Coturnix japonica: one gene and its partner. The protein of the gene in region 2 binds, or shares a complex with, the protein of the main gene of each other region. Links are inferred from orthologs where the notes say so. Each region holds a gene or a part of one and is shown on either strand. Other genes may lie near its edges. The genes, in order: S100A10 and ANXA2.

Region 1 (4,562 bases), on a different chromosome or scaffold from region 2:
ATGGAAAGACTCAGCAGAGGATGGGACTTTCGGTTGCTGATTTAATGGGGATGATGGGCGATGGGCAGCCCCACAGTGATGGGTTGGGATGGGAACCCCACAGCAATGGGACTCGGTTGCTGATTATGGGGATATGGGGACTCAGGACTGACTAATTGGGATATGGGGTTGGGAACCCCACAGCACAGGGGGTTTGGGGATGAGAACCCCATGGACATGGGGACTCAGGGCTGATTATGGGGGATATGGGGATAGGAACCCCACAGCGAAGGGGGTTTGGGGATAGGAACCCCACAGCAATGGGACTCAGTGCTGATTATGGGGATATGGGGATGGGAACCCCACAGCGATGGGGATCTGTGCCTGGGATTCCCATGGCGATGGGGACCCGGTGCTGACGGGGATGCAGGGATGGGAACCCCCCAGTGATGACCCACCCCAAGGCAGAGGCCACAGCAGGGTCATACAAAACACTTTATTGGGGCGGCGGGGCCGTCTCTCACTTCCTCCCCTTCTGCTTCATGTGCACCACGAAGTAGTCGTTGCAGGCGATGGTCAGTCCAGCCACCAGTGAGAAGAAGCTCTGGAATCCCACTTTGCCATCCCGGCACTGGTCCAGGTCCTTCATGATCTTATCCAGAGCCATGGGGTCACGCTGGTTCTGGGGGCAGAAGCGGGTCAGCACCTCATAGTGTGGTAGGTGCTGTGACCCCACTGTGCCCCATTCCCCTCCTCCAGGTTATAGAACCCTGGGGTAGGTGTGACCCTGCTCTGTTCCCCACCGCCTCAAGGTATCCAGCTCTTATAGGGCTGTGGGGTAAGTGTGACCCCACTGTCCAACCTCTCACCTCCAGGAATCCGGGGAACTCCTTCTCCATCAGGGCACGCAGGTCCTCCTTGCTCAGGTAGTTCTTGTCACCCGCATATTTGTGGAAGGTGAACATCAGCGTCTCCATGGCGTGCTCCATTTGGGATGGCATGGTGGCTGCTGTGGGGTCTGTGGGGTCAGCAGGGTCCTGTGAGGGTCTCAGTGGGGTCTGTGGGGTCAGAAGGATACAGTGGGGTCTAAGGTGTGGGATCAGCAGAGTTGGAAGGGTCCAGTTGGGTCTCACTGGGGTCTGCGTGGTTTAGTAGAGTCTAAAGGGGCTGGAAGGGATCAGGAGGGTCTGCAGGTCTGCATGGGGAGAAGCAGGGTCAGAAGGGATTTGTGGGGTTCCATGGAGCTTCAGAGGGTCTCTGTGGGGCGTGTCAGGCATCGTGGGGTGTGTGGGGCTCCATAGGGTGTGTGGGGCTCCACAGGGGTGTGTGGGGCTCCATAGGGTGTGTGGGGCTCCACAGGGGTGTGTGGGGCTCTATAGGGTATGTGGGGCTCCATAGGGTGTGTGGGGCTCCATAGGGGTGTGTGGGGCTCCATAGGGGTGTGTGGGGCTCTATAGGGTGTGTGGGGCTCCATAGGGGTGTGTGGGGCTCCATAGGGGTGTATGAGGCTCCATAGGGGTGTATGAGGCTCCATAGGGCGTGTGGGGCTCCATAAGGGTGTATGGGGCTCTATAGGGTGTGTGGGGCTCCGTAGGGCTCTATAGGGGTATATGGGGCTCTATAGGGTGTGTGGGGCTCCATAGGGGAGTGTGGGGCTCTATAGGGAGTGTGGGGCTCCACAGGGGTGTGTGGGGCTCCACAGGATGTGTGGGGCTCCATAGGGGCGTGTGGGGCTCCATAGGGGAGTGTGGGGCTCCATAGGGGAGTGTGGGGCTCCACAGGGGTGTGTGGGGCTCCATAGGGTGTGTGGGGCTCCATAGGGGCGTGTGGGGCTCCATAGGGTGTGTGGGGCTCCATAGGGTGTGTGGGGCTCCGTGCCCTCCGTCCCATCGTGGTGACTCAGCTCCGGGCAACGGCCGCGAGGCGGGGCCGGGTGTGATGTGCTGCGGTGTCCCTCCTCTGAACCCCCCCCTCCAACACACACACCCCGCCCCGGTCTTCCCTATGGGACACCCTCGGGACCCCCCCGCCCTGGGCACACTGAGTCACGGCGCCTCCTCCCAGGGTGGGGCCCCTCCTGGATTCCCTACAATCGTGGATGGGGGGGGCACATCCCAAAGCTGCTCCCCCCCCCCCCCACTCCATTGCAGGAATGGAGACTCCACCCTGGGGGTGAGGCGTTGGGGTGTCCCTCCGGCTCAGCTTTAATGCTTTGGGGAGGGGGGGGACACACAGTTTGGTTTTGGGGACCACTCCTCTATACCTGCAAAGGGGGAAGAGGAAAGGGGGAAAAGGAAGGAGGGGGGGGTCCCACCCCAAGTGGAAAATAATGGCAGAGTCCCAACCTTTGCATTAAACTCTCCCCTGTTCCAACAGCCCCCAAATAAATAAGTAAATAAATAGAAATAAAGCTGCAGCATCTCAAGGGGGGGTGGGGGTGGATCCTAAAGTTTATGGGGTGATGGGATAGTGTATGGGAGGGGGGGGGGAAAGCAAATCTTATGGGGTGATGTGCGGGTGGAAAGCCCTCAAAGTTTATGGAGTGAAGGGGGAGGGAATGAGGGGGACCCCGAGCTTTGTGGGGTGATATGGGGTGAGGGGAAGAGCCGGGACCTCCTAAGAGGGGGGGGTGCAGGATGGGACCCCCCCCCTCCAGATGGAGGTTATGATGGAGCAGGGTTACTGCTATGGAGGGGGTGGGACGGGGGTATCCTCTATGAATAGGGCTTCTCTCTAAGGGTGTAGGGAGGTCCTCTATATAAAGGGTCCTCACCCCATTGCGGGTCAATGCCTGGAGGAGCTGGGTTCCAAGGGACCCAAATGAGGCGGGGGTCCTATGGAGAGGTCCTATGGAGGGGGGGGGTCGGTACTCACCGCACGGCGCAGACCGGGGCACTGCGGGGCGGTGGCACCGCCCGGGATAGGCACGGAGGGGGCGGGACCGCCCCGGGGGGGGGACCCGGGGGGGGCCTGGGGCTGACTCAGTCGCTCCCGCCCGCAGCGCTCAGCCTTAACCCCTTCCTGCCCGGCCACTATCAGCCCCCCCCGGCCACTATGTGTCACCTGAACGCGTGTCCCACCTGGTGGCTCCTGGGGAGGGGAGCACCGCTGGGGAGGGGGCGCCTGGGGACGAGGCCGCCTTTGGGTACAGGCCCGTCCATCCCTAAGATCAGGGCCGTTCTTAGGGACCTGGCTCAGGGATGTGGCCCTAACCCCGGGCACGGGGCTGCACTTGGGGACAGGGCCACCAAGGAGCTGTGGGCACTGAGAGCTGTGAGAAACAGCTTTGGGGACAGGAACGTACTGAGGGACCGACGTGGGTTTCTTTTGGGGACACGGCCATTACTTGTAGGGACAGGGCTGCGCTTGGAGTCACGGCTGTGTATGGGGACATGGAGGACAGGAGCACATCTGGGGCCATGATCACCTATAGGGCCAGCATCACCTATAGGGACAGGATCACCTATAGGGCCAGCATCACCCATAGGGACAGGATCACCTGCAGGGCCAGGATCACACTTGTAAGGACAGGATCACCTGTAGGGCCAGGATCACCTGCAGGGACAGGATCACATCTGTAGGACCAGAATCACCTATAGGGCCAACATCACCTGTAGGGCCAGGATCACCTGTAGGGCCAGGATCACATCTGTAGGGCCAGGATCCCCTCTAGGGACAGGATCACCTGCAGGGCCAGGATCGCATCTGTAGGGCCAACATCACCTGTAGGGCCAGGATCCCCTCTAGGGCCAGGATCATATCTGTAGGACCAGGATCACCTATAGGGCCAACATCATCTGTAGGGCCAGGATCCCCTCTAGGGCCAGGATCACCTGCAGGGCCAGGATCATATCTGTAGGGCCAGGATCCCATCTGCAGGGCCAGGATCCCATCTGCAGGGCCAGGATCACACCTGTAAGGACAGGATCCCCTCTAGGGCCAGGATCACATCTATAGGGCCAGGATCACATCTGTAGGGCCAGGATCACACCTGTAAGGCCAGGATCACCTGCAGGGACAGAGCCATGCAGGGGGACAGGGCTGCACATGGGGCGATGGCTCTCATTGGGGCAGGGGCCAGTGACCCCCTGAGAGCAGCCCCGATGCCTTTGGGGCTGAATTCACCCCCATGATACTGCAGGTGCCCTCCATCACCTCTATCTGCACCCAGTATCTGGCAGCACCCAGCAGGCGCTGTGCCACCACCTGCCCACGCAGACACGGCTCAATTAGCGCAGCTCATTACTGAAGGGCTGCTCTAATCCCCCCCCCAATAAAAAACGCCCTGAAGTGAAATGGGACCTGAAATGAAATGGGACCTTTATGGGGCTCTCCCGGTTCTCAGCCCCCTCCCCCCCAGGACCACCCTTACCCCAAATGACCCCCACTCCCCACATCCCAACCGCACACCCCAAAGGCCGCCCCAAAAGCTGACCCTCTCCCCCCCATTACCCCCGCCATCCCCTTCCATCTCCTCGCTGCCCCCTCTCTGTTCCCCTGTCCCCACTCAAGATGGCGGCGCCTCCTCACACCCCCTCCCGCCCTCACCCAACATGGCGGCAGCTCGCCATGCTCTGAAATAG
Region 2 (2,509 bases):
GGTTCTCCAGGAGGTCTTCATGTTAATGGTAATCACGTATTTCTCTTTCATAGCTTTTCTCAATAAAATGTTTTGAGGCAAATTTAGTTATTTATTTTTCCATTTCAATAAACAGATTTTCTGCTATCAGCTTGTGTCCACCTACAAGAGATACATCTAACCTTGGTAATTATGATCAACTGATCTAATGAAGATAATTATTATATGACTCTCCCCTGTACTTCTATATATCAGATGCTTATTAATAGATAGCCTATGAGCTAAGCTATTAAAGAATGCTTGTGAATAATACAAGGCCATCGTTATTTTATCCACATGCCATTTACACATCATATGAGTAAAACCAATAAAACCATCTAAGGGATAAAAATCTGATGAAACAATGGTTAGAAGGTAATGAGTAGAATGCACAATCTCTCTTACCTTCATGGAATCATAGAGTCTGTCTGCAAAGTACAGCTGCTTGTTCTGAATGCACTGAACTGAAGAGAGAGAGATGATAGATGGGTAAACATTCTGAACATGGAAGAATAGAACACAGAATCTCGGAGCCTTTTAAAGGCACGGTATGCTGTCAAAATAAGGTATTCTCCAAACGTTTCCCCAAAAAGGGGCAAAGAGAAATTGTTTCTACCTGTATTGTTATTTAGGAATTGTTTGGCTGCACTTGTGATCGAAGCACGAATGCTTGCAATCTGGGAAACGTTGCCCTCTGTTGCTAGTATAATTTCAGAAGGCAAACTTTCCTCCACACAATTCACTCTTGAGTCCATTTTTCACTTCTATGAACAACCTTTTTTTCCTGAAAACGTTCATTGTATGCTAATAGGTGAGAAGTGTCCCTTTCAAGGTTGAGCTGTCTTGATTCTGCACTAGCCTTATTCAGCTTGGTTCTCCCTTAGCCTGAAATGGATTCTTCTCTTAAAGAAAATCCTGTGAAACCTGGCAGCTTCCCATGTATTCTCATCTCATCCACAATAGCAGCCAGTCCAACCTTATTTCCCCACCTTACTTACCCTTAATTCAGAGAACTCAGAGCAAAATTAGCTCTTTTCTTAGTCTATGGTTCCCTCCACAGCCTGTCCTCCCTCACACACACACTGCTTGCTTTCCAGTCTATCCATGTTGAATTATTAATGTGCACAGAGAGAGTTCCAGCCTTTTTTATATGGAGGAAACAAGCATTAAGCTTCAGTATTGGACAAAATTGAAACTAACAACAGATGACAGAACATGTGCATTTTTCTCTTCATTTGGAAAGCAAGATTTATATCTTGCAGAGGGACAAAGTATGACACCTCTCAGTACCTGAAATACACAAACATATCCAATAATACCTGCCTTTCCAGTTTCCTTCTCCTCTAGTGATACAGAGGAAGCTGGGCCTATTTTCATCACAGCACACTACAAGAGCACTGAAAAGACACTATTTAAACACAGTCTTTATTTTATGGTAACTCACCAAGGTTAACGAAGGCATTCTCCAGATCTCCCTTAACTTCCTTCTTGATGCTCTCCAACATATCATATGGGCTGTAGCTCTTGTACCTTTCAAACACTGTTACAAGAAAGAAAGCAGATCCCATCAAAACCAAACTAGGAATGATTAAAAGTAAAAAAAAGAATAAAAAGCTAAAGGATCTTTCAAGGTAACATGCAGCCCTGTTTTCTAGATTTCTAACATTTTTCTTCTCAGTGTGCATGACATACCATTAAACGGTGGTTGCACATGTGTAAAAATAAAGACATCTATACATATCCATGGATACTTAAAAAATTGTAGCAACTTGCGTGTGAATAACATTTCTTTGATTGCTTTTCACACTTAGTTGAAAGCCGTGTGAAACAAAAGAGTTACCACTTCTTACAGGAGATAAAATGCAAACCTGTCTTTTAAATTGTACCTTTCTGCAGATGTGGCACACTTCTTTCAGTCATAATGTTGATCCACTTGGGAACATCAGTTCCCTTTCTCTTGACACCAGCATCATAGAGCTCCTGGGTAAAGAATGAAAATCACGAGTCACACAAAAAGCCATTTCAAACACAGACCATTTCCTTACTGAAAAATAGCACTACAGGAGCTGTGTCAGTGGGGGACACGCAAAAGGACACACATTTGGGACACTAGTGGGTAAGCATCCCATGAAAAATGGTATCAGGATTGCAAACAGCAGATACCTTGATATCATTCACATGTTGCTAAGCAAGAGAGATCTGAAATACACACATCTGCTTTCATACACTCTTTTCCTTTTCACAGTATTTGCGTTCTGAATATCCCCCAAAGTTTAATCAACTTAAGACATGTAATGGCCATTACTAACACTTACCCTAGCATCTTGGTCAATCAGTTCATAATCAATCACAGAGGTATCTTCACATCTTTTGCCCTTCAAATGAGAATAGCAAGATTAAGAACTTTAATAGATTTCAAGCAATTTATTATATTTCTTTCACTAATCATAGTCACTATTTGCTACATGGGAATGTTTCCTGTCCGTTATGA

What was found.
Region 1: the proteins of ANXA2 (region 2) and S100A10 are in contact, whole or in part, in a crystal structure (PDB 4FTG), measured with the Homo sapiens proteins. The link is inferred for Coturnix japonica from reciprocal best matches to the Homo sapiens genes ANXA2 and S100A10. Residues at the interface, in NP_001002857.1 of Homo sapiens: Val4, Glu6, Ile7, Leu8, Lys10, Leu11, Ser12, Leu13; in NP_002957.1 of Homo sapiens: Phe39, Gly41, Phe42, Asn45, Gln46, Ala51, Lys54, Ile55, Leu79, Ala82, Cys83, Tyr86, Phe87, Met91.

The regions. Positions count from the first base shown.
Region 1 is NC_029540.1:2,466,895-2,471,456, forward strand, and holds S100A10 (protein S100-A10), read right to left. Parts: upstream 2,978-4,562; 5' UTR 2,854-2,977; intron 1,038-2,853; 5' UTR 981-1,037; coding exon 849-980; intron 662-848; coding exon 500-661; 3' UTR 462-499; downstream 1-461. UniProt on the Homo sapiens protein: Because S100A10 induces the dimerization of ANXA2/p36, it may function as a regulator of protein phosphorylation in that the ANXA2 monomer is the preferred target (in vitro) of tyrosine-specific kinase.
Region 2 is NC_029525.1:4,218,053-4,220,561, reverse strand, and holds part of ANXA2 (annexin A2), read right to left. Parts: intron 2,394-2,509; coding exon 2,334-2,393; intron 1,999-2,333; coding exon 1,905-1,998; intron 1,559-1,904; coding exon 1,463-1,558; intron 483-1,462; coding exon 424-482; intron 1-423. UniProt on the Homo sapiens protein: Calcium-regulated membrane-binding protein whose affinity for calcium is greatly enhanced by anionic phospholipids. It binds two calcium ions with high affinity. May be involved in heat-stress response.